7 linked regions of the Ovis aries genome follow. The protein of the gene in region 4 interacts with the protein of the main gene of each other region in a biochemical or structural test. Links are inferred from orthologs where the notes say so. Each region holds a gene or a part of one and is shown on either strand. Other genes may lie near its edges.

What was found.
Region 1: the proteins of PML (region 4) and MAPK7 form a complex in vitro, tested with the Homo sapiens proteins (2 studies listed by BioGRID and IntAct, with this or other methods). The link is inferred for Ovis aries from reciprocal best matches to the Homo sapiens genes PML and MAPK7.
Region 2: of the proteins of PML (region 4) and HIPK2, one has a biochemical effect on the other in vitro, tested with the Homo sapiens proteins (2 studies listed by BioGRID). The link is inferred for Ovis aries from reciprocal best matches to the Homo sapiens genes PML and HIPK2.
Region 3: the proteins of PML (region 4) and JUN form a complex in vitro, tested with the Homo sapiens proteins (2 studies listed by BioGRID). The link is inferred for Ovis aries from reciprocal best matches to the Homo sapiens genes PML and JUN.
Region 5: the proteins of PML (region 4) and KLHL20 form a complex in vitro, tested with the Homo sapiens proteins (3 studies listed by BioGRID and IntAct, with this or other methods). The link is inferred for Ovis aries from reciprocal best matches to the Homo sapiens genes PML and KLHL20.
Region 6: the proteins of PML (region 4) and PIN1 form a complex in vitro, tested with the Homo sapiens proteins (2 studies listed by BioGRID and IntAct). The link is inferred for Ovis aries from reciprocal best matches to the Homo sapiens genes PML and PIN1.
Region 7: of the proteins of PML (region 4) and SENP1, one has a biochemical effect on the other in vitro, tested with the Homo sapiens proteins (2 studies listed by BioGRID). The link is inferred for Ovis aries from reciprocal best matches to the Homo sapiens genes PML and SENP1.

The regions. Positions count from the first base shown.
Region 1 is NC_056064.1:33,839,276-33,842,596, forward strand, and holds the end of MAPK7 (mitogen-activated protein kinase 7), read right to left. Parts: intron 3,232-3,321; coding exon 2,153-3,231; intron 2,072-2,152; coding exon 1,494-2,071; intron 1,234-1,493; coding exon 1,100-1,233; intron 955-1,099; coding exon 801-954; 3' UTR 501-800; downstream 1-500. UniProt on the Homo sapiens protein: Plays a role in various cellular processes such as proliferation, differentiation and cell survival. The upstream activator of MAPK7 is the MAPK kinase MAP2K5.
Region 2 is NC_056057.1:104,675,499-104,679,744, forward strand, and holds the start of HIPK2 (homeodomain-interacting protein kinase 2), read right to left. Parts: upstream 2,801-4,246; 5' UTR 2,780-2,800; coding exon 2,761-2,779; intron 1-2,760. Other genes in the region: putative HTLV-1-related endogenous sequence, read right to left, coding at 2,801-3,152, 3,271-3,468.
Region 3 is NC_056054.1:33,493,864-33,498,010, forward strand, and holds JUN (transcription factor Jun), read right to left. Parts: upstream 2,801-4,147; 5' UTR 1,881-2,800; coding exon 873-1,880; 3' UTR 107-872; downstream 1-106. UniProt on the Homo sapiens protein: Transcription factor that recognizes and binds to the AP-1 consensus motif 5'-TGA[GC]TCA-3'.
Region 4 is NC_056071.1:32,252,370-32,255,869, forward strand, and holds part of PML (protein PML), read right to left. Parts: intron 1,417-3,500; coding exon 836-1,416; intron 1-835.
Region 5 is NC_056065.1:54,477,008-54,480,507, reverse strand, and holds part of KLHL20 (kelch-like protein 20), read right to left. Parts: intron 1,895-3,500; coding exon 1,321-1,894; intron 1-1,320. UniProt on the Homo sapiens protein: Substrate-specific adapter of a BCR (BTB-CUL3-RBX1) E3 ubiquitin-protein ligase complex involved in interferon response and anterograde Golgi to endosome transport.
Region 6 is NC_056058.1:12,284,522-12,288,683, reverse strand, and holds the start of PIN1 (peptidyl-prolyl cis-trans isomerase NIMA-interacting 1), read right to left. Parts: upstream 2,801-4,162; 5' UTR 2,776-2,800; coding exon 2,718-2,775; intron 427-2,717; coding exon 214-426; intron 1-213. UniProt on the Homo sapiens protein: Peptidyl-prolyl cis/trans isomerase (PPIase) that binds to and isomerizes specific phosphorylated Ser/Thr-Pro (pSer/Thr-Pro) motifs.
Region 7 is NC_056056.1:138,490,660-138,494,761, forward strand, and holds the start of SENP1 (sentrin-specific protease 1), read left to right. Parts: upstream 1-1,302; 5' UTR 1,303-1,897; coding exon 1,898-1,949; exon of another isoform or gene 1,950-2,003; intron 2,004-4,102. Other genes in the region: PFKM (ATP-dependent 6-phosphofructokinase, muscle type), read right to left, coding at 1-12. UniProt on the Homo sapiens protein: Protease that catalyzes two essential functions in the SUMO pathway.

The sequences.
Region 1 (3,321 bases), on a different chromosome or scaffold from region 4:
GCTGTGTCCCACTTTAGCCAGATTCCTGACCGCGGCCTCTGCCGGCCGAGCCTGTAGACCTCTCCTGGCATCTGCCAGGCTACCCCAGCAGTCCCACTGGCTGGCCCTTCACCCTCCTCCCACCCCCGTGTTCCCCTGGCGTGAGCACCACGGCCCGGCCCCACTGCACTCATGCTCAGCGGCCCCCTGCCTGCCTGACCCAGGCACCTGAAGCGCAACACCCAAACTGTATTTCGCCACAGCTCCCACAGGCCACCCTAAAACGCCACAGCCAAGGCGGGCGCAGATGTGAGGTCCCCCCACCCGCCCCGGGGGTGAGTGTGACTGTGCGAGGGTCAGAGGACCACCTCTGTGGGGCTGGGAGCAGGTGGGAGTGGAGGTCTCAATAAACCTCAGGACCTGAACGAACCGGCCTTACTGTTGTGCACGCAGATACCTTTGCCTGCCCCCATGACGGCACACTGTCCTCGACTCCGAAAACACACCCTGGAGACAGGCACTAGAGGAGACCTTGTATTTCACAGGCAACCTTCCGAGGGCAAAAAAACTGTCATCATAATAATGTAATAATAATAATAATAAAATTATGATACTGAAAAGAATCGCTTGGGGGAGGGGCTCCCCCTCTTGGTGTGGCTTGTGCTGGCTCAGGTGGCTGCTTAAGGCCACAGGGTGGGTCTGAGATGAAGCTGCAGAATGATCTGAGCTGATTCCCCGACCGGGCGCAGGGCTCCAGCAGGACAGTCCTGCAGATCTCGGAGCTGGGTCTGCCCCTGGCAGCAAGGCACGGACTGCGGGACTCAGGGCTCCTGGAGGTCAGGCAGGTCGGCCAGCAGCATGGGGGAATCCATCTGGATCTCACGCTGCAGGGACTCGATGTCGGCAGGGTTCATGCCGTGGCCCTCGAGCCAGTCAGCGAGCAGGGAGGCTGAGAGCGAGGCTGAGTCTGCTTGGCTGTGGGTGCGGCGGGGAGACAGGGTGAGAGGCTCCTCCTGCAGAGGGAGCCCCAACCGACAGCCCTACCAAACCCAGAGCCCCACCGGACCCAGAGCCCCATTGGACCCACAGCCCAACTCAAAACGTCAGACCCAGCTCTTACCCGTCTTGTGGCCCATCAGCCACACCCATGTCAAAAGACTGGTTTAGGAATTCCTCCAGGTCAAAGCCAACACCATAGCCAGCTCCACTGCCCTTGGGGGTGCCCGAGAACACGGGGGGCAAAGGGTCCTCCACCTGCAGGGGATGACGGCAGCTCACAACACAGGCACCACCAAGAGCAGACTGAGGTTGGCAGGGTGCCCGGCCATGATACAGCCCCACCCATGCCCGGGCCTGGACAGCAGCGGTGACAGCGCCAGCCTCAAAAAACCCTGAGCGTGGGCTGGGGTCTCCAACAATCTGCTCGTCAGCATTAGGCTCTGGCCTCAACAACCTCAGAGCCCACCTCCCCCGCGTCAGACCCAGGCATCCCCACGACCAGGCCTCTCTCTCACCTGCGACTTGGACAGCTGCTGGGTCACCAGGGTGACGTCAGGTGACTCCGATGTGGAGGGCTGTGGGGCCCCCCCGGGGTCTGGAGGGGGTGGGCCAGAGGGGAAGTAAGGGAGAACACTCAGGGCACTGGGGCCGGGCAGCCCAGGGGGCGGCACCAGTGGCTGGGGGGCCAGAAGGCTGGAGGTGGCAGTGGTCTGGGGAGCAGCAGGGCCAGCTGCAGGTGCAGGGGGTGGGCAGGCCGGCTGTGGCAGGGGCCCAGTGGGCTGGGTGGCAGGGCCAGCGGGAGGGCTGGGGGGCCGGGCTGTGGGCGCGGGGGCAGGGGGCTGGGCCATGCGAGTCCAACGCTCCAGCAGGCTGCGGTCGTTTTCACTGAGCACCAGCCCAGCCAGGGGGTCAGCGGAGGGGCCCCCCGAGACCCCCGCGCCCCGCTCCTTGCGCTCGCGCTCCTGCCGCCTCTTCTCCCGCTCCTTGGCCCGCTCCTGCCGCCGTCGGCGTTTCTCCTCCCGCTCCCGCTGGCGCTCCTGAGCAGTCACCGGCTTCCGAGGCTCAGGAGCTTCCAGGGGGGCACTGGGGCCATCTGTGAGGAGGATGGGAAGGTAAGGTAAGAGTCAGTCCAGGCAGGGGTTCCCCCTCTGCCCCCCATTCCCCAGCCAGGCACCTCGGAGCCGGCTCCGCAAGGACTTGAGCAAGGCAGCCTTGAGGGCAGCCTTGGTGTTGTCTGAGATGGCCCCCTCCTTCTTTGGAGGGGCTGGTTCACTGGCTGGTGGGGGCGGTTGCAGGGTCAGATCGATGGTGTCGGGCGCAGGGCCAGGGCACGGCAGTGGGGCTGGTGGAGGGGACTCCATGGCGCAGTCCCCACTCGGAGCCCAGGGGCTGGGCATTTCCACGTCGGGGCAGCTGGGCTCGCTGGCCACAGGCTGCAGGGAAGGCTGGAAGCGGATCTGCTGGCGAATGCCCTCGCGCCGTGCGTGGAAGTCCTCGATCTCCGCCACGATGGCCTCCTTAATGCGCTCCCGCGTGAGGGCTTCGCGGTCAAAGGCAAAGTCAAAGGGCGGGGCACAGTCAGGCTCGTCGTCAGGGTCATGGTACTTGGCCAGGAAGGGGTGGCGGAGGGCAGCAGCTGCGGAGACACGGGCGCTGGGCTCGAAACGTAGCATGCGCCCCAGTAGGGAGAGCGCCTGGCGGTCAGCACCCGGGTACACCGTCTCCCAGGGCACAGGCTGGCGTGGTGGCAGGCTCTGGATATAGGCCCGCACCCTCTCAGCTCCCACAGCCTGAATCACGGCCGGCGACGGGGTACCCAGCACCGTCATGATCAGCTGCAGCTGGTGCACATAGTTTTTGCCTGGGAAGAGTTGGCGCCGGGCCAGCATCTCCCCAAAGATGCAGCCCACGGACCACAGGTCAATGGCCTGCGTGTACTCATGCAGCGAGAGCATGAGCTCGGGGGCGCGGTACCAGCGAGTGGCCACATACTCAGTCATGAAGTACTGGTGCTCAGCGGGCGAGGTGCACAGGCCACGGGCCATGCCAAAGTCCCCAATCTTGAGCTCGCAGTTCTCGTTCACCAGCAGATTGGAGGGCTTGAGGTCGCGGTGGATGACCTGAGCCGAGTGCATGTACTTGAGGCCCCGCAGCAGCTGGTACAGGAAGTAGCGCACATGCTCCAGTGTCAGCGGCTGTGAGGAATGGATGATCTGGTGCAGGTCGCTCTCCATCAGGTCCAGGACCACGTAGCTGAGAGGCAGGGGAGAGACGCAGGCTGTCTTGCCCAAACTCCAACCCCACTGTCACGCCCTCCCAGCTCCAGACAGGTCAAGGTCTTAC
Region 2 (4,246 bases), on a different chromosome or scaffold from region 4:
CTAAATACCTGGCAGTTTAGGATGCTCCACTAATGCACTCAGGCCTTTACATCAAATCCTAGCCTCGGGCAATTGCACCCTATTTAAATAAATGAATATACCCCTGAATTCTGGCTTAAATGCCTCACCTGTCATTATCCTTCTCCTGAGAAGAATCCAGGGTTCAAACCTTTTAGAAGGGTGAAAACTATCAGAAATCGCTCTTGGAGAATTCCACAGGAAAAGCCCTGCTCCTCTGGGATACACACAAGGAGTCCATGTGCTCCGACCGGGATGTGGTAAAAATCAGGTTCCCTAAATGCAGGGGGCGTTGCCAAAGGAGGGAAAAAGGAGGTCACTGAAGTCTTAGAGGCACTCATCACAGGAAGTAAATGTGGGTTCCGCAGCGCAATGCCTGATTAGAGGGGTCACCTGTCTGCTTTAGAGCATGACCAACAGCTGCTTTCAAAAAAGACCCAGGCCTGAGCTCGGGCAGTGATGCTGGACTGGTTCAAAAGGGGTGAGGAGGAAGAGAAGAATTACAAAGATTCGAAGAAACTCTCCCAGAATCAAAGGGCACAATGCACAGGAATGATCAAGAGAGCACACACACAAGACTGAGGGGCCCAGGGGTGGCAGAAGCGACCACATAGGTCAGCTGGGACACAGAAGGCAGGCTTGCAAATAAAAAAAGTGAGCTCGAAACCTTTGAGATCTGAGATTATGCTTAAACCACAACGTCTTCCACACCCACAGGTCTTTATCTGGTGTCATGCGCTAAAAGAGCAGGGTAGGAAGAGCCTTAGTGCCAAGGCTTAGCCGCAGGGGGATGGCCTACATTCCGTATGGATTTAGATGAGGAGAACAGGAGGGGAACAGCACGGTTCCCAGGACGGCTTTCTACAAAGTTGACAAAATACCTCCCAACCCACATACCCAGCCCCTTGAGAAAGGGAAAGCAGCCTGTTTTACTATAGTTCTGAATTCAATGCCAAGTTCCTTCTCCAATGCTCACCCGGAGTGTCCAGCAGAGGGAGTCTCAAAGAGGTACTTAATAAAGAGAAAATTGTTTCATTTTAACACTCCATAGACAGTGGGAGCATTGACTGTAGCCCCCTCCCAGAGACTCAGAGGAACAATGAATGCCCGACTGGGTCCTCCTAGTATGTTCACAGAGCCACCGGGCTGGCTCCATTCTGTGTGGTGGAGTGATCAGAAATTTTGTTTTGTTTTGTTGAATGGTTAAATGGACCTTGTGTTCTTCAGAATCAAAGAGGAAAGCCCCTGGAATAACATCTCTCTGTTGCCTTCTAAACAGGCCCCTTTGTTTCTAAGAGAGTCTGAAAAAAAATATTTACAGTCCATAGGTTATTTACAGCCTCGTTACCCAGCCTGACTGGTAACTTTATTCCATCCAGAAACCTAATTCATTTGGAGCTCTGGAACTAATAACAGATTTTCTTTTCAGATAAGTTTTGTTTTTTTTTTTCTAATCTGCCTTTATAACAGAGATAAAACTATTAATGCGTTCCCTGTCTCACTGGCCACGACTGTTCTCCGGATTTATAGAGGATTAAAACCTCGCCCCTCCTCTTCATTCCGCACAAACCCTTGCCTCCTCTCATTTGCTATTTCATCCACAGGGTATCTGAACAAAACCGAAAGAAAGCCAGATGGACTGACGCTCAAAGTATGTAAAGGCTGCTACTTCAATGATTTCATGAGAAAGACATTTTCACGAGGAAAATGACTGAAAAAAAAAATCAAACACCCTTTGGTTCAAAATCCCTCCTACTACAAGCACACACACACACACACAAAACACACATCGAAGTGTAAAAACTTAGTTGATTCCGGTTTGATTTCTGGCTGGAAACTGACAGAACTGACTGAAGAGAAACGAAAGAGGGACTGCAGGGGAAACGGAGTATTTCTGCCTTCCGTTCTTGTCTTTCTTCCTAAAGACAGACGAGAAAAAGGACCCGACGCCAGGTGAAGGTGCACCGCGCAGGTTTACCCAGACCGGCGGAGACCAGCGTCTTGGCCGCCTCCCCGACTGGCAAACCCAAACTACATTTTCCCTTACACACGCTAATGCGGGGAGATTTTCGCCTATTTCATTGTTCTGCCTGGCTCTGAAATGGACTTTTCCTCTCTGCCCCCCTCTCATCACCTAGCCCCGCACATTCCGATCCGACAGCCCCCCAAAATCTGAGGCTCGCGAAGAATAAAGGAGTGTGTGTTTGTGTGTGTGTGTTGCGGGGGGTGGGGGGGGGGGGGAGTGGAGGGAAACGGGAAGGGAGCTGGGAGGACGGAGAGTGGAAACAGATCACCCTAAAGGTAATTTTCTTTAGGGTGTGGGGGGGGTGGAGATGGAAAGCTACACCGCATCACCTTTATTTCTTACAAATAAATAAAAAGCACCGTCACGGGTCTGTCTTTTTTCCTGGCGCCCCCTCCCACCCAATTTCTTTTCTTCGGCCAGTAGCCCACCCTCGCACACCCCCCACCCCACCCCCCGCCTCTTTCTCCATCCTGGAAATAAGATCTGTTTGATTCCGGATCCCGGCCGATCGCCGGGCGACCGAGGGGGTGGCGGGGAGGGGGGCGGGCGACCGGTTCGAGCCCCGGGGGTGGGGCGCGGGGACCCGGCGCCGGGGGGCTGCGGGCCGGGGGTGGGGAGGTGCTGCCCGGCGCGGGGCCGCGGGCAGAACAAAGCTCCGGGGGCCGGGCGGCCGGGCGGCCGGGGGTCGGCGGAGTCGGCGGGCGGGCGCCGCTTACCTTCGTACACGGGGGCCATCGGGGCCGGGGTGTCCGCGATTCATGGCAACGGAGAAGGGATCGCGGCGCGCGAGCTCGGCCCCCCCAGCCTCAGTCGGAATCTGCCATCTTGAGCCTGTGTCTCCGCTCTCGGCGCAGCCGGGGCCGCCAGCGCCCGCATCACCGCCTCACTTGGCCGGCGCCGGGGGAGGGGGCCGGGCGCCGCCGCCGCCGCCGCCGCCGCGGCCCGGGCCCTGCGCGGGGCTCCCGGGGGCTCCGGGGGGCGGCCGGGCGGGCGCAGCGGCCGAGGCCGAGGGCCGAGCGGCCGCGGCCCCCGAGCGGGTCCGCGGTGGGGCGGGAGCCGGGGCGGGCAGCGCGCGGCCAGTCCCCGGCCGGGGCTCAGCTCAGCATGGCTGTGTGTGTTGGGGAGGGGGGCGCTCCGGCAAAAGTTGCACGGGAGGCGGGGGAGGGGCGGGAGGAGCCGGGGGAGGGGCGGGGGGCGGGGGCCGGGGGCGGGAGCGGCGGCCGAGCGCGAGCGACGAGCGAGCCCGGAGCCAGGAGTCCGCGCGCAATCGAGCGCCGATGGCACGGATGCGAGGCGGGGAAGGCCGAGCGCAGGGCAGGAGCGGCCGGGCTGGTGCGGGGAGGCGGTGGGTGGGGGGCGGATCCCGGGAAGCCGGGGAGGTTAGGCGGCTCCGCCGGGCGGCGGTGCACGCGCTTTGGTTCTGACTGGCAAGGGGGAGCCGGTCCGCGGGGGTGGCACCAGAACTTTGTGTGCATGCGAGCTGGGCGGGAGGGGAACCGACTGGAAGGGAAGCCTCGGCCGCCGACGGCTCGCCCTTTCTCGCACCTGGTTGGCGCTCCCCGAGATGGGTTTGGAATGAATGAATGAATGGAGGAGTGGGCGCACGCGGTCCTCCCCGGACTCTCGAGTGAGTGGAGGAGCTTTGGAAGCCCAAATGAGGTCAGAGATGCGGGAGCCATTCGGCGCACGCTTATGAAATGCAGCCTTCGGATGTTCGCTGGATTCCTGCGGGAATCTGGTTTCCGCCCCCATCCTCAGGTCTACGAGGTCTGGAGGGTTAATCCCCAACCCCTATCACCTAGACGAGTGGTTGCCACCGATTGTTTCCCAGGCCTCTGCCTTCCTCAACGCTCTGCCTCACAGAGCTTCAGACGCGCTCCAGACTCCCCGAGGCTTGCCAGTCCCCTCCTGCAGCTAGTCTTGGGTTCTTTGATGGGATGCCTGCCATCGCCCCCAACTTAAGACCTGATCTTACTCTTAGGCAGGGTTTTTAAAACTGTGGGTCGTGACGCAGTAATTGATCATAACAGACATTCAGTGGACGGCAACCAACTTTTTAAAATAATGAAATGTACTAGAATAGAAAGTATTAGATGCCACTGCCCTTAGAATAATTGTTTCATAAACCCTTTGTTTCAGTTATATATACTAGACAACTGCACTGGACCAGGATACAAGTTGTATTTCCTGCTATGGGTCATG
Region 3 (4,147 bases), on a different chromosome or scaffold from region 4:
CTGCTAGTAAGAAGCACCCACAGTGATTTTAATTGACACTCAACTCTTTCAACTCCACCTAGACAAGTAATCTATAGATAATGCAGAAAAGAGGTTGGGGGAGGGGTAACTTTTTCAATATTTTATTGTATTTTCTTAAATATCCTTTCTGGAATTTTCAGAAACAAAACATAAAAAAAATTATATACTTTATTACAAATGGTAAACTCAGAGTGCTCCAAATCTCTTATTTACAAACAAGGCTGGGCAGGACACCCAAACAAACAAACATGAATAACTTACAAAGGCATGAAGCTGTTTATTGACAGTAATCAGCTTTCATCAAATTAAAAAATATATATATGTACATACACAGTTATGGAAGGCAGGCCAGAAAGAGCTCATCTGCAGGCTGGGCCTCGCTCTCACAAACCTCCCTCCCGCCTCCCCTCCCCCACCCCCTTTGTGTTCTTAAGGAGTACTACAGAAGCGATCTACAGTCTCTATTGCAGTTTGCAACCCCCTCCCCCACCCCACCCCTTTAATACTGAATGAGATCGAATGTTAGGTCCATGCAGTTCTTGGTCAACGTTAAAGAAAAGTCTAACGTTCTGTTTGCGCGGGGACAGCCCGTCCGCAAACCCGGGCAGCCCGCGAGCGGCCGTTCCCTGGCTCCTCGCCAAGGGAGGGCGCGCCAAGTCCTTCCCACTCGTGCACACTGGGGGCGCCGTCAGGACGCAACCCAGTCCAACTTGGATACCCTTGGCTTTAGTCCTCGGACACTTTTGTTTTTTTCTCTGTTTCTCTCTCGCAACTTGTCAAGTTCTCAAATCTGTCTCTCTGTGTTATTTATATTTTTTCTCCGTTGCCCCTCAGCCCCCGACAGTCTCGCCTCAAAACGTTTGCAACTGCTGCGTTAGCATGAGTTGGCACCCGCTGTTAACGTGGTTCATGACTTTTTGTTTAAGCTGGGCCACCTGTTCCCTGAGCATATTGGCGGTGGACGCCAGCTCCGAGTTCTGCGCTTTCAAGGTTTTCACTTTTTCCTCCAGCCGCGCGATCCTCTCCAGCTTCCTTTTCCGGCACTTGGAAGCAGCGATGCGGTTCCTCATGCGCTTCCTCTCCGCCTTGATCCGCTCCTGGGACTCCATGTCGATGGGGGACAGGGGCGGCGTTTCCCCGGGCATCTCGGGCACCGTCTGCGGCTCTTCCTTCAGGGCCTGCAGCCGCGGGTGCTGCACGGGTATCTGCTGGGGCAGGTGGTGCGGCGGCTGCGGTGGTTGCTGCTGCTGCTGCTGGGGCTGCGCGGGAAAGGCCAGGCCAGCCGCGCCGTAGGAGGGCGCCCCGCCGCCGCTGCTCAGCGCGCCGGGGTTGAAGTTGCTGAGGTTGGCGTAGACCGGCGGCTCGCTGTGCAGGCTGGCGCTGAAGCCGCCGCTGCCGCTGCCGCCCGCCACCGAGGCCACCGCCGGGGCCACCAGGCCCGCCCCGCTGACCGGCTGCGCCGCCGACGTGACGCTGGGCAGCGTGTTCTGGCTGTGCAGTTCGGCCAGGGCGCGCACGAAGCCCTCGGCGAATCCCTCCTGCTCGTCCGTCACGTTCTTGGGGCACAGGAACTGGGTGGGGGTCGGCGTGGTGGTGATATGCCCGTTGCTGGACTGTATGATCAGGCGCTCCAGCTCGGGCGACGCCAGCTTGAGCAGCCCAACGTCGGGCGAGGTGAGGAGGTCGGAGTTCTTGGCCCGGAGGTGCGGCTTCAGGCTGCCCACCGGGTCGGCCAGATTCAGGGTCATGCTCTGCTTCAGAATCTTGGGGTTACTGTAGCCGTAGGCGCCGCTCTCAGACTGGAGGAACGAGGCGTTGAGGGCATCGTCGTAGAAGGTCGTTTCCATCTTTGCAGTCATAGAACAGTCCGTCACTTCGCGTGGGCTTAGTTTAAGCTGCGCGCAGAAGTTTCGGGGCCGCAACAGCGCGCTGGCAAGCGGGGGACACCCGCGCCTCCCCGGGCAGTGAGCAAGGAAAGTTTCTGGAAGAGCGCGCGCCCCCGCCGGCTGGCAGCCCCCGCCCCCGGCGCCCTCCTCACCAGCTCGGTCCGGGGGATCGCAGGGTTAAGACGCCGCCCGCGCTCTTACTTGTCCGCTCGCGCGCGCCGCCCGGCTTTGAAAAGTCGCGGTCACTCACGGAGCTCTCTCGAGCGCAGCGGTTCCTCAGAGCCCGCGGACGAACTCGCTTCCCGGTGATAGCAGGGAGCGCGGACCCCGCGTTTGCCTGCCGGCGGCGGGTGTCCGCCGCCCCGACTCGGAAGACTGTCCCCTCCTCCGCTGAGAGGGGGAGGGGGCGCCCGGCAGCCGCGGCTCGCGCTCGCCCAAGTTCAGCAACCGGTGCGAGCGAAGCGGAGCGCACGTCCTCCTCTCTCCGCCGCCTCTTTTTCTTCACCGCCGCCGCGGCAGCTTCGGGCGGAGGCAAGATTTGCAAAAGTTCGTTCCGGGACCCGGCGGCCACTTGTCTCCTGTCTTCCTGGCCGGGAAAGTTCTTGCCGCTGCAGCCGCTCTCCGGACTTCCCCGGGCGGACAGTGGCCGCTCTCCGCGCTGTCAGCAGCGCCCGCGCAGCGGGGCTCTCCGCCTGGGGGCGGCTGGCGAAGGGGCTCTCCCGGCGCTCCCCAAAACACCAGGCCGGGAGCCACAAGCGCTAGCTCCGGGCAGTTGGAGAGAAATTGGAAAATAGGATTTGCTGTCCTTCTCGACTGACTGTGCCTGTCTGCCTGCCTGCGTCCGCGCACCTCCACTCCCGCCTCGCAGCTTCAGCCACACTCAGTGCAACTCTGAGCCCTTATCCAGCCGGAGCGCAACACTTATCTGCTACCAGTCAACCCCTAAAAATAGCCCATGATGTCACCCCAAGGCCTTCCCATTGGCTCGCGTCGCTCTCAGGGGGGCGGGCCCACCCGTCGCCATGGAGACCCCACCCTAGAAGATTCTTCTCTGGGCCCGCGGAGGCTCACGGGATGAGGTAATGCTCCGTTGCCCTCCTACAGTTGGGCCCTTCTTTCTCCTCCTCCCCCCAACCCGCTCCGCGCGACTCGCGCCCCTCTCTTCCCCCTCCCTCCCCGACGCGTCTTTCCCGGCCCGCCCGGTGCATTGTGGGCTGACGTCTTGGGGTTTGACTGTCTAGTGACGGTGGCTGCCGCGAGCCGGGCGGACTCCGGCGCTCCCAGCCTCTGAGGGAAGTGGGCTGAAGTTTAGGGCTCGGATGGGAATGCCAGGGATGCTAGGACCCAGGAGGCCAGGGGAACCGAGCCAGGTGTCTGGGGCCGAGGGCGCGGGGCGGGTGGTATTTCCCCACTTGGGGGTTCGATGTCACCCGCGGGCACTTCGCCGCCGCTCGGGGCGGGCCGGGCCCGTTGAGCGCCTGGGTTCCTGGCCCCCCCGCACTTCCGGGGGGCGGGAGCACCGCCCTTAAGGTGGCTCTGTTAAGTCCCCTGTGGGGGCGAGTGAAAGTGGCTTTTAAATTTGGGGGCAGTTCGTGAGAGTCGGCCCCCCACGTTGAGAATGCCCTGAAGTTTGTCTCCTGGTCAAGTTCAGTAGCGACTGTCTGGCTCTGTCTGGAAGTCCAGTGATTTGCATTGCTTGAAACTGGGTGTTCGGCTAAGTCCCCTCCGCACTCCCACCTCACCCTCCCGACCGTGGGAGAAAGGGTGCGGGGGTTCGCATCTTTGCCTCGGAAAGGTTTCTTACAGGAGGTGGATTTAAGGGGCAACTCGGCGTCTAGTTTGAACGAGCGTTTGGAGAATCCGAAACTCGGGGAACCCCGGTGATAGTCTACTCTCCGCCCCCGCACAACATGCATAGACACACCGCACATCACATGTACACACAAACACACACACACGCACACGCCACTCCTCCCGCCCCGATTTGCTTCCGGGAAAACAAGTCCGAGAGCAGCAGACACTTGCCAAAAGTCACGCAGCGAGTGAGTAGAATAAAGATTTAAAATTTCTCCGCTCCCGGCTGGGGGGTGGGCCCATATCCTGTGTAGCCTCTAGGAAGCGCTAGACCCATGTAAGTGGTTCCTTTTCAGTGGTGGTTATTCTTCTCCTCCCCCAACCCCGCGCCCCTTAGGGACGAAAGTGTACGGTGGAAAGAATACCGAAGTCTGGAGTCGTGGGTT
Region 4 (3,500 bases):
GATTTGGGCTACAGAGCCAAGCACTGTCTCATTCTCCAGCCACACGATGTGCCCCAACCTTGTCTCCCAGTCGGACTGGACAACTCCAGGTCAGAAACTGGTCCTCTGTCTCCTCACTTCCCCAGTTCCCAATACCAGGCAGGGCCCACACAGATAGGCAGCTAGTCCAGATGGCAGGCCATCCGAGGGGCAAAAGATCCCTTCCACTGAGCCTGGTTTTGGGTAAGCACCCCACCAGGGGATGGGGGTGGGGGTTAGGAGTGGTGGTGGTGGTAGTGGTCCGCCCCTCTGGGGCTAAAATGATACAGGGTATGGTTCTCAGCTTTATAGTTTCTTAAGTCCCTTGAGGGGCTTCCCGCAGTGGCTCAAGCGGTAAAGAATCTGCCTGCAATGCAGGATACCGGGGTTCAATCCCTGGGTCGCCAAGATTCCCTGGAGAAGGAACTGGCAACCTATTCCAGTCCCTCTTGCCTAGAGAATTCCACGGACAGAGGAGCCTGGTGGGCTACAGTTCATGGGATAGCAGAGTTGGACACAACTGAGTGACTTTCACTTTCAACTTCCTTGAGAGTCACAAGATCACAACTAATACTTAGGGTCTTATAAATCAGTCAGACGTGACCCTACTGGGTGGCTGCAGGCTTCTGCTCCCCCAGACTTATCCTGCGCTCTGTAACCTACAATGTGATCAAACCCAAGAGACTTAATAAAAACCCCACAGTTTCCTCTTATGTCACATGGGGCTGATCTTTTCCACCTGCCTTTCCCCACGGGCATCAGCAGGCCCAAGCCCTCACAGGGTAAACAGGCCAGCCATGAGGTGATGGTGGCTTACCTCTACCCTGGGTGATGCAAGAGACGAGGCCCTGCAGGCGCACCCTGAATTCGTTGAAGCTGTCTGTGTGCACAGTGGCTCGCAGACTCTGGGGCTCCTCTTGGCGCAGCTGGTGGAGTGCCTTGCGCAGGAAGTCATGCATGTCCAGCACCTCCTGATCCGAGGCGTATAGTTTCATCCTCTGCACCAGCACGCTGCCCATACGGATCCGCTGCAGTACAGCATCCAGCCGGCCCAGCTGGCCCGCTATCTCTTCATAGTCGCGCTGGTACCGCGCACCCACGCCTTCCAGCAGCTCACGCTCCTGCTCTAGCACGTGCGCTACCACCTCGCGCACGCGCTCACGGATGAACTCCTCAGTGTCGGCGCGTACACGGCCCAGCTGGCTGATGGCAGAGCGCATCTGCGCCTGCGCTGCCCCGAAGCTGCGGTCCTGCTCCTGCAGGTCCTGGGTCATGGTGTCCAGCTCATCCTGCCGCTGCTGGATCTCCATGCTGATGTCGCACTTGAGCTCGCCGTGGTCCCTATCCAGGAGAGCGCACGAGCAGCACAAGGGCTTGGAGCAGCCTCGGCAGTAGATGCTGCGGACACAGAAGGTTGGCCTGATTTAGGGGATTCCTGCTTTCTTTTTCTCTTTAAATATTCTTTACTAAATGCCTCTTCAAAACAGTTACAAAAACTTTGAGTGCTGGTATGTTTCTACATCTGTGCTTTTCTCAGTTCAGTGTTTCTGGTTATGGGGATAGTATCCAAACTACCAATAAAACTTATTGGAACATAAAAAAAGTTACTAAAGTAGTAATAGCTAGCCTCCATCCATGAAATACTGTATATTAACACATACATGTAATTTAGAAAGACAGTAACAAAAATCCTACATGCAGGGCAGCAAAAGAGGCACAGATGTAAAGAACAGACCTTTGGACTCTATGGGAGAAGGCGAGGGTGGGATGATTTGAGAGAACAGCATTGAACTGTGTACATTCCCATATGTAAACTAGATGACCAGTGCAAGTTTGATGCGTGAAGCAGGGTACCCAAAGCTAGTGCTCTGGGACAACCCAAAGGGATAGGGTGGGGAGGGAGGTGGGAGGGGGTTTCAGGATGGGGTGGCACATGTATGCCCATGGCTGATTCACGTCCATGTATGGCAAAAAAGCATCACAATATTGTAAAGTAATTATCCTCCGATTAAATAAATTTTTTTTTTTTTTAAAGCAGAGTTAATCATCATCAGAAGTACCCAGCACTTCTGAATTTCTTTTCTCCGCCTCGGAGGCAACCAGGAGAGCATCCTGGGTGCATCCTTCACACCTCTGGCTCTTCAAACTGCTCCACATAAATAGTCACACTCTTCTGCTGCTAGCAGAATCCCAAGGACTTGAAACATTTCATCCCACTTAATCCTCCGTAGAGTGTCTTAAGAGAATGATTATTATCCTCACTTCACAGACAGAAGAAATCAAGATGTTCAGAGGTTAAATAACTGACTCATACCTACAATAATTTTGGGCAGGTTGATGTTTATTTAAAAAAAAAATCAGATCATGCTAAACGATTATTTTGTAACTTCCTCCTCTAATTTAACTTTTGTTCAGGACACTCCTCATCTAGGTCTACAAGCATAATCTTCAGTTCAGTTCAGTCGCTCAGTCGTGTCCGACTCTTTGCGACCCGATGAACTGCAGCATGCCAGGCCTCCCTGTCCATCACCAACTCCCAGAGTCCACCCAAATCCATGTCCATTGAGTCGGTGATGCCATCCAACCATCTCATCCTCTGTCGTCCCCTTCTCCTCCTGCCCCCAATCCCTCCCAGCATCAGAGTCTTTTCCAATGAGTCAACTCTTTGCATGAGGTGGCCAAAGTATTGAAATTTCAGCTTCAATAACAGTCCTACCAATGAACACCCAGGACTGATCTCCTTTAGGATGGACTAATGTATTTAATAGATCCATTACATTCCAGATGGACCACACTGACTCAGCCATTCTATTAATAACGCATTGGATCAGTTTAGTGGAAGACAACTTTTCCACGGGGTGGGTGGGAGGGGTGTGTGCAGGGGAGGGGGGATGGGTTGGGGAAGGGGTGGCAAGGGGTGGTTCAGGCAGTAATGAGAGTGATGTGAAGCAGCAGATGAAGCCTCCTTTGCTCCTCGCCAGTTCCTAATAGGTTCCGACCAGGATGGGTCTGCAGCCCAGGGTGTTGCAGAACTCTGTGTTAACGGGCATTCCAGTGATTTCCTGTTTGTGCATTTCCCCCCAATATGGACAATGCTTTATGTAGCCTCATGCATAGATCCTTTTGTTTCTATGAAATATATGATAAAATAATAGAATTGCTAAGAGAGTGTATATTTTAATATATTTTAGCCAGCAGACACTTCCATAGTATTTACTATGTGTCAAGATACTTATAAACATTTCACAAATATCAACTCACTTAATCCTTATAACAATCCTATGGAGTGGGAATTATCATTGTTCCCATTCTAAGGATGGAGAAACTAAGCATGAGGTGCAATAACTTGTTCAAGGTCACACAATTAGAAAGTGACAGAGTCCAGAAGCAAATTGTAGTAGGCAGAATAATGGTGTGCATTCAAGTACTAATTCCTGGAACCTGAATAGGACCCCTCACATGGCAAGAAGGGCTTCCCTGAT
Region 5 (3,500 bases), on a different chromosome or scaffold from region 4:
GCTAAGAGTCTGACAGGACTGAGTGACTTCACTTTCATTTTTCACTTTGGTGCATCGGAGAAGGAGATGGCAACCCACTCCAGTGTTCTTGCCTGGAGAATCCCAGGGACAAGGGAGCCTGGTGGGCTGCCGTCTATGGGGTCACACAGAGTTGGACACGACCGAAGTGACTTAGCAGCAGCAGCAGCAATTAGCTATTTCACCCTTGTTAACAGGGTGTGTAACCAAACTTCTGGATATTTGTAATCTGGTAGATAAAAAATAGTACTTTGGTGTAGTTTTAATTCATGTTTCTGTTATTGTGAACAAACCTGAGCAGATTTTCATGTTTAAGGGCAATCTGAACTTCTTGTTTACTACCCATTTTTAGGTCACTGGCCTAGGTTATTGACCAATAAGGAGCTCTTGATATAGTAAGGAGATATCATCTGTAATATGAGTTGCAAATGTTTTCCCTTAGTTTGTCTTTAATTTTTTCTCTCATTATTGTTTTACCATGCAAAATTTTAAAATATTTATATAGTCAAATCTATCAATATTTTCTTCTATGCTTTCTGGGTTAGTCAATTAGAAAGACCTCTTCAAAAGGAATTGTTTTGTGTCATCTTCTACTATTTTCATGGTTTCAGTTTGTATTTTTTAAATTTTGGATCCATTCACCGGACGTTATCCTGTTGGACAGAAAAGTGATACTAAAGAATAAAATGGACATGCCATTCCTTTGCTTAAAATCCTTTAATGGTTTTCTACTGGTCTTAAGATCAAATTTCAAATTCTTAACATGGTCTATTAACTCCAATGTGATCTGGCCCTGTTTCTTCTGTAAAATCATTATGTAACATTCTTTATTGCTCTCTGGATCTCATTGGGTTTCTTTTAGTTCCTCAAACTTGTTATGCTTTTTCATGTCTCAGAATCTTGGATGAACTGTTCCAGAACCAAAGTTAAATCTCTCTGTAATACATTGTTAAATTATCCAGGGCTTCTTTGTAGCACTCATTAACTCTAATTAATTATTTATGTAATTATGAATTCAGTAGCTGTCTTCTGTGCCAGATTATAAGTCTCCACTAGAACAAACACTCAAGGCATCTTGTTCACTACTGTAGCTTCTGTTCCCAAGCACAGAGGTGGAAGTATAGCAGCTTCACAGATATTTATTAAATGAATGAATAAATGAAAAATAATAGGTTTAATAAATTCTTTGATAACATCTAATTTCATTTTTCTGATTATTAGCTTAACAAATAACCTGATATACTATATCGTTCTCCTAACAAATACATTGTGGATGCATTCAAACCACCAAGTACAACTTACCTCTTGAAAATTATGTTGAGTGAACTTGTCTGCTATCCTTAGCAACTCACGACATGAATGTGTGTCAGCAAAAGCCCGAATGCCCAGGCAGTTTGAAGGATCTAATTGTCTCTTCAAGAATTCACAACAGGCTTCTTGTATTTCTGCCAGCTGGAGGAGGCAAGCAGCTGGCAAGAGGGTCTGAACATTGCCCTCTTCCACAGTTATCTGGGAGGTATATGCAAAGTCTATCAGTAGTTCCATAGCCCTCTCATCTATGTCTCGGATCACTACTTCCGTCTGACGGCTCTCTGCCAATTCTCCTGTAAACATAGCTCGGAAGTAGGGACTACAGGCTGACAAAATGACTCGATGGGCATATATCTTCTTAGCGCCCACAACTAGCACCACATCGCATAGCTCCCGGTGTTTTCTCAGAAGGTTAATCACTTCCAAGGTTTGTCGAGGGTGCTTGTCTGAGATATAGGGCATGCGGGCAGGTTGGGGAACCCCTTCTGGCAATTTGTTGGGGTCTCCAAGGGTGCAGCGGCTTGTTACATCCATTCCAGTCTCTCCTGGCCGAATGTTGGTACACCTACAGGAATGGGGGTAGGAGGGAGAAAAGAAGATGACAATATTTTTAGAAGCTCATTCCAGCATTTCATTTGTATTTCATATGTAGAGATTCAGGTGTTAATTTACTAAGTAAATGCCACAAACAAATTATTGACAAATAATTAGAACTAAAATATTTGGATTTTCATAACCATCACACTGTATCAACACGGAGGAAAAGAGAGAATCTGTGCCCCTCAGTGAAGACGGTAACTATGTTTTTGACAAATATTTACTATTTTTTATAGTTTACAAAGCATTTAGCTATGGACTAAGGAAAATTCAAAGGAATATAAAGAGGCAGTCAGGAAACCTAATTATCTAGAACAAGGAGATATACATGAATAGCCAGAAAGAGGGTAACCAGGATAAACAATATGATTCAGAAAGGCAAAATCTATGAAATATTTGTTTATCCTGGAACATATACCTGATTGGCATATGCTCTCAGTTATTACAAGGGTATGTATTTGTGTTGTGTGTGTGTGTGAAGTGGAAATATTACATTGGGTTTTTTAATAGTTTAGGTGAAATATGTAAGCACACATCACTATACTTCTGTTTCTGATTCTATACTTGCTAGGCAGTCTTCTGATGTACAATTCTTTCAAAGGTATCATGTTATTAAAAAGGGAGGTAGGTGACTTCAGTGTCCTGATCACTGGGTTTTAGGTCAGCCTAAAGTTAGTCTCAGAAACTAATCATCTATGACTGTACTGAGATAGTTTAATATCTGGTCCACAAGGGACAGTATTAGTTTACTACCTCTAAAACTATAGCACCAACAAGACATACAATATAATAAAACACTAGTGTGTTGAGAGAATCCCCTGGAAAGGAGAGGAGACTCTAAAAGAACATTTTAGGAAGAAGAAACTACATTCAGTTCTTCGCCATCTGTTTTTCCAAAGCACTTATAAATTTAATCTATGCTTGGCCAGAGCCTACAGGTAAATGTATTCTACAGTACAAACTATTCATAATACCTGACATCTGGTAGAAACAGCACCATTTATGCCTGACAATTTAAAACTGAAACTGAAAGCTGGGCAGTTAAAAAACAATTTTTACCACCCACATAAACAACCAAAAGAGCCTTTAGCCACAGTACTTTATTGGTGTCGTTTGTAGTAGATGCTGAAAGAATAAATCACGAGGTTAACAGTGGTGTACTCCAGCTTTAAAAAAGAACCACCATTAAAGACAAGACCAATTTAAAAATTCCCATTATAACGCTGACATTCTATGTTGAAATTAAAGAGTTTTGTTGCAATCTTAATCATGTACACAAAGATGGTACTGTTGAACTCAGGTATAAACAATTTTTTATTTCACGCAAGTACAACATGGAAGCTAATTTCTACATATCTACTTAAGTTCTGTTTTCTATGCTCTCTATACACATTCTTGAGAAGTACATTTAATCTCATATTTTCCATCGCCTGTATATAAATGACTAAAGGATTCTTAACTCCCACCTGGGTAAGTTCTGAATTCAGATCCATATGGATGTCCCCAAATCACTCAAACTCAATATATCTCAAATACTAAAACTGATTCCTTGACTACTTTCACCCAAGTACAAG
Region 6 (4,162 bases), on a different chromosome or scaffold from region 4:
CCACTCTCACACACCAGCTGGGGAGGAAAATGAGAGGCAGCCATGGAAGCCAGGCTCATGCCACCAACAGGCACTTATAGGTCGGCCAAGGCCACAGCTGACAGCTAAGCTGGCTGGGGTGGAGCATCTCATGTGATTTCTGTAAAGCTTGCACTGCCCTTGGGGAGAGGGACTGCCCCCTTCCCCCAGGCCTGGTCTCCAACCCCAGCTCACCATTGATCAGCTCCAGGGCCTCCTCCTTGGTTCGGGTGATCTTCTCCTGCCGCCAGGACGAGGGTCGCCGTGACTGGCTGTGCTTGACCAGCAGGTGTGAGCAGCGGACCCTGGTGGGCTCCCCTTGTCCATTTTTGCCGCTGCCACTGCTGTTGCCACTTGGCCGCTCCCACTGGCTGGCATTAGTGATGTGATTGAAGTAGTACACCCGGCCTAGAAGGGGGGGTGGGGTACAGAATTCAGCTGGGACCTGCTCAGTGCATACCACCATCAAGCCATGATATGGAACTGGCCAACAAGATGCCTTCATTCAGCCAGCCCACTGCTGTCCACCAGTGTCACCAGGACTTAGGGAGCTAACCCTCTAGGTGGGAGGCAGACAGACAATAAACAAGCAAGTACGACCACATAATAACTTTGGTCATTAACAACTTCAAGGGGGGAAAATAATCCAAGATGAGGAAGAGAGGTTCAAAGCATGCACTCAGCAGCCAGACTCCCTGTTCAAATCTGCCACTCACTCCCTGTATGACTCCCTTCTCCGGGCCTCAGTTTTCTCACTTGTAAAATGGAAATAACAACAGTACTTGCCTGAATGGTTTTTGGAAGGACTGTATGAGTTCACATCTGTAACGAGTTTAGGACAGCACTTGACATATATTAACACATTATCGACTGGGGGATTTTTGCAAAAACTAACGCCTGTGGCTGGCGATTATAAATGAATGTTGAGACACTCCAGTCAGTAACATTTGGGTAACAAAAAACATACTAATACATCTCTGGTCAAACCGTGGGCTTCCCAGGTGGCACAGAGGTAAAGAATCTGCCTGCTAATGCAGGAAGCAAAAAAATCTTGGGTTTGATGATACTCTGGAAGAGGAAATGGCAACTCACTCCAGTATTCTTGCCTGGGAAATCCCATGGACAGAGGAGCCTGGTGGGATAGTCCATGGGGTCACAAAGAGTAGGACACGACTTGAGCATGCACATGTTACTGTGAGGCATCTGGTCAGCTACTAGTGCCTCCAAAACAAAGCAATGGGTGTTTATTCTGCTGCATAAACTGTACCCATGTGTGTCACACACAAAAGCTTTGTCCTTTTCCCCTACCCAGTTACAGAACTGGGGTCCAGCATTACTGGGGTCAGATGTTATCCAGACTAAAGAGCATGGAGTGAGGGCTGCCAACAAGAAGCTTGAAGTAGGACCCAGTAGAGATAGGGTGTCATTCCTGGAGCAGAGTCTGCCCGGGGTTACACGGAGGACTTGTCCAAACACCGTGAAGGGCTGGATGTCACCCTCAGGGAACACTGTCAGGATTGAACTGGGTTGAAATGGCTGGAGTGGGAGCCCCAAATTTGGCAGAGCATTGGCTTTACATTGTAGGTCACATCCATGGGTCAAGGCTGCAGGGTGGGGTGGGGGTTGGTGAGAGCTGAGCCACTGACTGCCTCAAAAACACTGGCAATGGGTTCCATCTCCCTGAACCTCAGTTTTCTCATTTGAAAAGTGGGGATGAGAGAATAAGGACATCAAACCTCCAGAGGGTTAATGTGGAGAGTGGATGGTGCTGTATGCAAAGTGCTCCTGATGTTCAAAAAATCAAATTATTACTGCGACAATGACTGCTAGGCTCTATGGAGAAAGAAGTGTGAAATACTGGAACCTGCATCTTGGTAGTTTGCAGCAAGAAGGGTAGGGGGCTCTGGAGTCAGAATGACTGGGTCCGAACCCAACCCCCACCCCCTGAAATCAATGACCTTGGGCGGGTTCCTTGCGTTTTCTGGCCTCAAGTTTCCCGATCTGCAAAACGGGGGTAACAATTACCTCTCTCCCAAAATTATGACCATTTAGAGAAAGCAAACACCCAAAATGCTTGGAACTATGCTTGGTCCTGAGATAAACGTTCCCTATTCTTGACATTATTATTGGGGAAAAGTCTTAAGTCGGGTTCCGGAGCACAAGGGCAGTTCTCAGGCAGAATACCACCGGCCGGATATCGCAAACTCAGAATATGGTGTGGATGGTAGCGAGCGTATTAGCAGAAGGAGGTTGTATATCCGAGGCCGAACAACACCCTATAGGGCCCCGCCCTGAGCATGATGTTGGGGTGTCCTCCCCAAGGGGTCCCCACCCTGGGACCAGCGGGTTGCACAGACGTTCCCTCAGGACTTCTGGTGCATTAGGCCGAACGAAAATGTCAGTCAGATCGGCAGGGCCAGGGCCATCGCCTGAGGGAGTGCCGCGGGATCACCATCCCCCTGCCACCCCGGGAGCACCCTGGAACTCCCCGGCCACGCCCCTTGCCTCAGTTTCCTCGGGATTCCCCTCTCCTCAGGCTCGCAGCCCCAACAGGGTGGGCCGGGGCCGTTACCCGGGGACGACGCGGAGGAGCCAGGACCCCACGGGAACCGAGCGGCGCTGCCGCGCTCGAGGGACAAGCTCGAGCCCTGCTTCTGCGGGCCCTCGCGGCCCCGTCCCAGCCCCGACCCCCGCGGCACCTGAGCTGCGGCTCATACGCTTCTCCCAGCCGGGCGGCAGCTTCTCCTCGTCCGCCATCTTCCCTCCTGCCGCAGAGGCCGCTCCGCCTCCGCCGCACCGCCTCTGCCGCCCGCGTCCGCCCATCGCTGCTGCCGATTGGCTGAGCCCGCCCCGCACGGGGTCTTGGCGACAGCACTCATTGGGCACCCTAACTGTCCGGACTGACTCTCTGGCTTCCTATTGAGCAAAGGCGGGGGTGGGCGGAGCCTCCCACCATTAATCTGGGCCCCGCCCCGGTCGGCCTCACCCAGGTCCCGCCCTCTTCCTTTCCTCGGCCGCTAAATGGTGGGAAAGGGACGCGAACTCGCCTTATCAACGCCCTCTGCTGAGCTTCCAAAAGTTCCGACCCCTCCTTTGCGTCCTTCGCCACAGAGCCCATCCGATTGGCTACTACTGTAGCAATTCCCGCCTTCCTAAACCATAGCCCGCGGGCTGAAGCCTCCCAGGCGGAAGTGTCTGGCCTGTGTGGAGGTAACCGCAGCGAAGGAAGTTCTTGAAAAAGGCGGTGCTGCCTTTGCTGTTGCCATAGCAACGCAGTTACCTTGGTGATGAACAGCTAAGAATCCAGAAGCCTATATTTGGCTCCTCCGTTCTCCCTCGTCCCACTTGTTTGCCCAAGATGTCCAAAGCTAGCCCACCTCCTTTTAATTTTTTGTGCAAAACTCCCTATTTTACTGACCCAAACACCTTCCATTTCCTTTGAAATCTACTTTACTTTACTAATTCCCTCCCAGTTTGGCTTCTGCCTCTGTCCTGGGTGACTCGTGGGTGTTGGCATTGCCATTCGGATGAGGACACGGTGGCTTTGTGGGTGGAAATCAGTGGGTGGAAGCGCGGGTGGGAGGATAATAGCTCAGTTTGAATCAAGTTGCTTTTAAAATTTATTTTTTATTGAAATATCAGTTGAATAAGTCAATTTAAAATGAAGGCTGTGGCACTAAACGGACATTGAAGAGGTGGTTGGAGACCTAGGGCTGTAGATTTACGTGGGAATCGGGACACCAACAGGGAAGAGTTCAACTAAAGTTCATCTATAGGAGGAGGAGAGTGAAAAAGCTAGTTTAAAATGCAACATTAAAAAAACTAAGATCATGGCATCTGGCCCCATCACTTCATGGCAAATAGATAAGGGGAAAGTGGAAACGGTGACAGATTTTATTTTCCAGGGCTCCAAAATCACTGTGGATGGTGAGTGCAGTGATGAAATTAAGACACTTGCTCCTTGAAAGGAAAGCTATGACAAACCTAGACAGGGTATTAAAAAGCAGAGACATCACTAAGCCGACAAAGGTCTGTATAGTCAAAGCTACAGTTTCTCCAGTAGTCATGTATGGACGTTGAGAGTTGGACAATAAGGAAGGCTGAGCGCCAAAGAACTGATGCTTTTGAATTGTGGTTCTGGGGA
Region 7 (4,102 bases), on a different chromosome or scaffold from region 4:
CACTTTACGCATGGTTGCCTCCTAGAAATAGAGACAGAATATAATGCAAATCAACAGATCTGTGGAAAAATTAAGATGGACAAAAATGACATGGACCAGGTATGTTCAATACTAATAGGCCTTAGGTCCTAAGTATAAAATGTCAGCATATGAAGTGATACATACTATCTACTTTCATACATTTGACAGGACAAGATATCCTGAACTCAGCAAGCATTTTCTCCAGCAGCTGAAAGGAGCTAAAGGCTGGAGGCCTCCAGCTCAACCAAGTCTGACCTGACTGTGGCTGTCATCTGGGTCTAGAGTGCTTACTCAGAAGCATTTCTCCAAGACTTCTAGATGGGCCTGGGTCCTGAGGCCCACCAAGCTGAGGGACTTGGTGACAAGTCTAAATGAACAAATGTATGCCTTCTCATTATTTTCTTTTAAAAATATAGAATAAAGGTTAATCAATTCACTCCCATGAACAACAACATGGTCATCTAGTTCTTCAGAGAGCAGAATCCTGGGATGGATCTCCAGATAACTTTCCTCACACCTCCTGGAGGAGTGTTTCAAACTCGTCCATCGTTCTGGAAGTTTCCCCACTTTTCCAGAGTCTAGCCTAAGCCAATCCCAAGCTGTCCCCCAACCCCCACCCCCCGGCCCACCTTTTCCCCAATAGCCAATCATGCATGATAGGCTGCAAAGAGCACAGGACTGCAAGTTAAGAAACTTGTTTCCTAGTCCCAGATCTGCCATGTACTTTATAACTTTGGGAAATGATTCCACTTCTCTGAAACTCGTAGACTAAATGATGGCCAGTAACCTCTACAAGCACTAACGTTTTGTGATTCTCGCTAAAACGTGAATCTTGCCCGGCCTAGATTTAGCTCAGGTCTACATCTGTCAAGGTGGCCACCGGTTCCTGCAGTTCAAGAGCCAGAGAGAGAAGCTGCCATGGAAACCAAAACGTGAGCAGAAATCGCCGAGCGGAACCAGAAGGCGGCGGGTAAGGGGGCCAGAGGGAACAGAGAAAAGCGAAGGACGATGGGCACACTAACAGTATTCTAATAAGGAGAAGGAGAAAAAGCCCAGACTGAAAGAGGAAATTATGACTACAGTCTTAGATGAGTCCCTTGGCGTCTGAGGCCTCGCCACACTGCGCAGGCGTTCCGCGGGTCTTCAACTCTGCTCTTTGACCTCTCGCCCCACCCCCTCCTCCTCCGCAGCCTCGGAACAGCTCTTCCGGTGTTGTGGAGGCGGTTCCGGTTCGCGGCGGTTCCCGGGTTTTGCGTTCCGCGCCCGGCCGGAAACCCCTTCGCATAGCAGCCGGTTCCGGTTCGGTGAGTGGCGGCGGGAAGCTGGGGGAGGGGTGAGGATGGAGGGAGCCTTGACCGGGAGGCAGAGCGGGCCTGGGCCCGGCAGCCTGGGCTGGGCTGGACGGAAGCGGGGACAGCTGTGGGGAGTGCGCTTTTTCCTCTGCCCCGCCCCCTGGGACCACCTCTCCCCCCTGCTGTCCGAGGCCGCGATCTGGCGGGTGGCCGTTAGTTAGCTTTCCCGGGGCCGTTCCTTGAGGCCTCTTTCTCCGGGGTCGAGGAGAGGCCGTCTCCCTACGGTCACGGCCGCCCCATCTCAGCGCCTAGCCCTACTCGTGAGGAAAAGGCCGGTTGGGATTTCGGGGCTTTCCCGCCAGAGCAGGTCTCTCAGGGGAAAGCTGTTTTCATCGGGAAGCTCAGCTTTTCTGTTATGCGTGCTTCACCTCCCGCCTTCCTTGAGGCTTGAAAGATATTTCTCGACTACTTCTGCGTCTCATGTAAACATTTCTCCAACTCTTTTACTCTGTGGTGTCTCCCAGAGATGTGATACCGCTAGTGCCACCACCAGAAAGAAACGTCTGGACCCTCCTGCCCAGGTTATGAAAATCCCCTTAACTGCCGCCGTTTGCTTACCTGGCTTATCGCCTCCTGGTAAATTCCCTCGAACCGTCTCTTTCTTGCCGTCCCCTATAACGTGATCTCTCTGGATATATACCCAGTTTCTCTTGAGCTTGGTGATTTCTGTTTATCGGTGCCTTTGCAGTATTTCCACTATCTTGTTGGCAGTAACTCGCTGCTTTATCACTTTCTCGTCAGCCTTGTTAAAGTCATTTCACCTCACGTTTGTTTGCTTTTTATATTTGGGGTGGGGGTGATTCTTGTGAAATTTATGCCTTTTAGAGGCCCCCAACTAATTAACTTAGGGTCCTTCTTCCAAGTGGGTGATTTTGGATGATTTTAGATCGTATCACCTCCTAAATCTTTATAAAGATAATTTGTGTTAAGGGCTTCTGTTGAGAGATAGGTTACACTGAATTTGGAATTACAGTTACAGTGAAACTTTAAGCATGTCTTTAAGAATGATCCGTTAACCTGCTAGTTTAGAGATTCCCTTTTCTCCTTTAGTCCCATGTTGGAACCCTCATTTGTTGTGGAGAAGCCTCACTCACTCTTACTTAATTCCAATTAATTATCCCAACTGCAAAGATGGTCTTCCTGTCACCCATCTGATGACAGATCTAGAGGCAGCAAATGAATTAAAAACAGGTTCTTCTACCTCAAGATAAGGTGATGTAATTCTTGACTACTGCTTTGGAAGTCTTTCCTTTTCTATACCTGACTCCTACACCTTCTACCAGTTGCACCAGCTTTATTACCTTGTTTTAAGTATCTGTTGATGAATCTGGTTTCCTCCCTCTGACAGATTCTCTGCAGCAGGGACCAGTTCTTCCTCATCATTGTATCCCCAGTCCACTCTGTGTTATTGGTGCACAGTAAATGTGTGTGTGTGTGAAAGAAAGTGAATCTTTTTTTTAAGGATTTTAAGGTGTTAGAGTCTAATTTGAGTGATGCCTTGTAGAAATATGAAAGACAACCAAAAATTGCATAATGATAGAGTGCAGACTGTTTCATATACATAATTTTCCAGAGTTTGTAATAGGATGATTCACATGATCACTTCCACACCCTTGTCATTATCAGAAATTATTCTTACTACATCTTGGTCCTGCAAAAAGCTAATTGTACAGTGCCTCTCCTCAGTATATACTTTCAGATAGCTTCATGGTAGCTCTAAATGTTCACTTTTATAATCACCTCTTTGCATGTTTGTCTTACTATGCTCATTACGTCCTGTTATTGTCAGGACTTTGCCATCATTTTTTTTTTCTTTCAGATTTTTTGTTATCTTGTGCTCAGCCGTTTATCTGACTTCAACTGAATACCTGTAATTACTTGTTTTTTTCATAAATTAAATGACTGATGTGAAGTAGAAAATGAAGCACTAGAATACTCTTAGAAGGAAAAATTTCTCATGCTTGAAAGAATTTGGTGACATCAGAAGTTCCAGGTCCAACATTTCATGTTGAATCTTGGGGCAAAATATCCTTTCTCCCATTATACTTGCACAATGGCAAAAAGAAAATAGCATAAGCACACCAAAGAAGCTCGATGTGCCTGGGAAATCCCATGGATAGAGGAGCCTGGTGGGCTTCAAGCTGTAGGGTCGAAAGAGTCAGGACTTGGCTACCAAATAGTAGCAGCAGCAGCGTAAAAAATGGGTGGATTCCCCAAATTTAGCTAGAGATTACTTTTATCTTGCCCAAGTGTATGAATCCTTCAATAAGGATATGTTGAAGGATGTGAATATTGTGATGTTTGTTGAAAGAGCATCTGCTTATAAGTGAGGATGCCTAGATTTTTGTCTTTCCTTTGTCCCATCTTTGTGATTTCAGGCAAGTCACTAAACCTCTCTGGATATAATTGCCAACGTTCTTTGATTTCTTGCTTGCTTCCCTTTCACCTCTATCTCAGCAGTGCAAAGGAGGTTAACATGGGATTGTTCCAATGGGCACCAGGCTTTTAAATTGGCATTACTTTTAATATAACAAAAAAGACTAGTGGTAACTCCTGGCCCGTGGGCCCTCGGAACTGGGGCAACTAGGGGACAGGAAGAAAAGAGAGGCAGAGTGTCCTAGAGATCATTGGAAGTGCTGAAATGATTGGACAGTAGAAAATGAGAAAATATTTTAAAACTAACCCTGAAATAAATGTCCCCTCACCCCTCCCCACCCAAGCCAAACAGG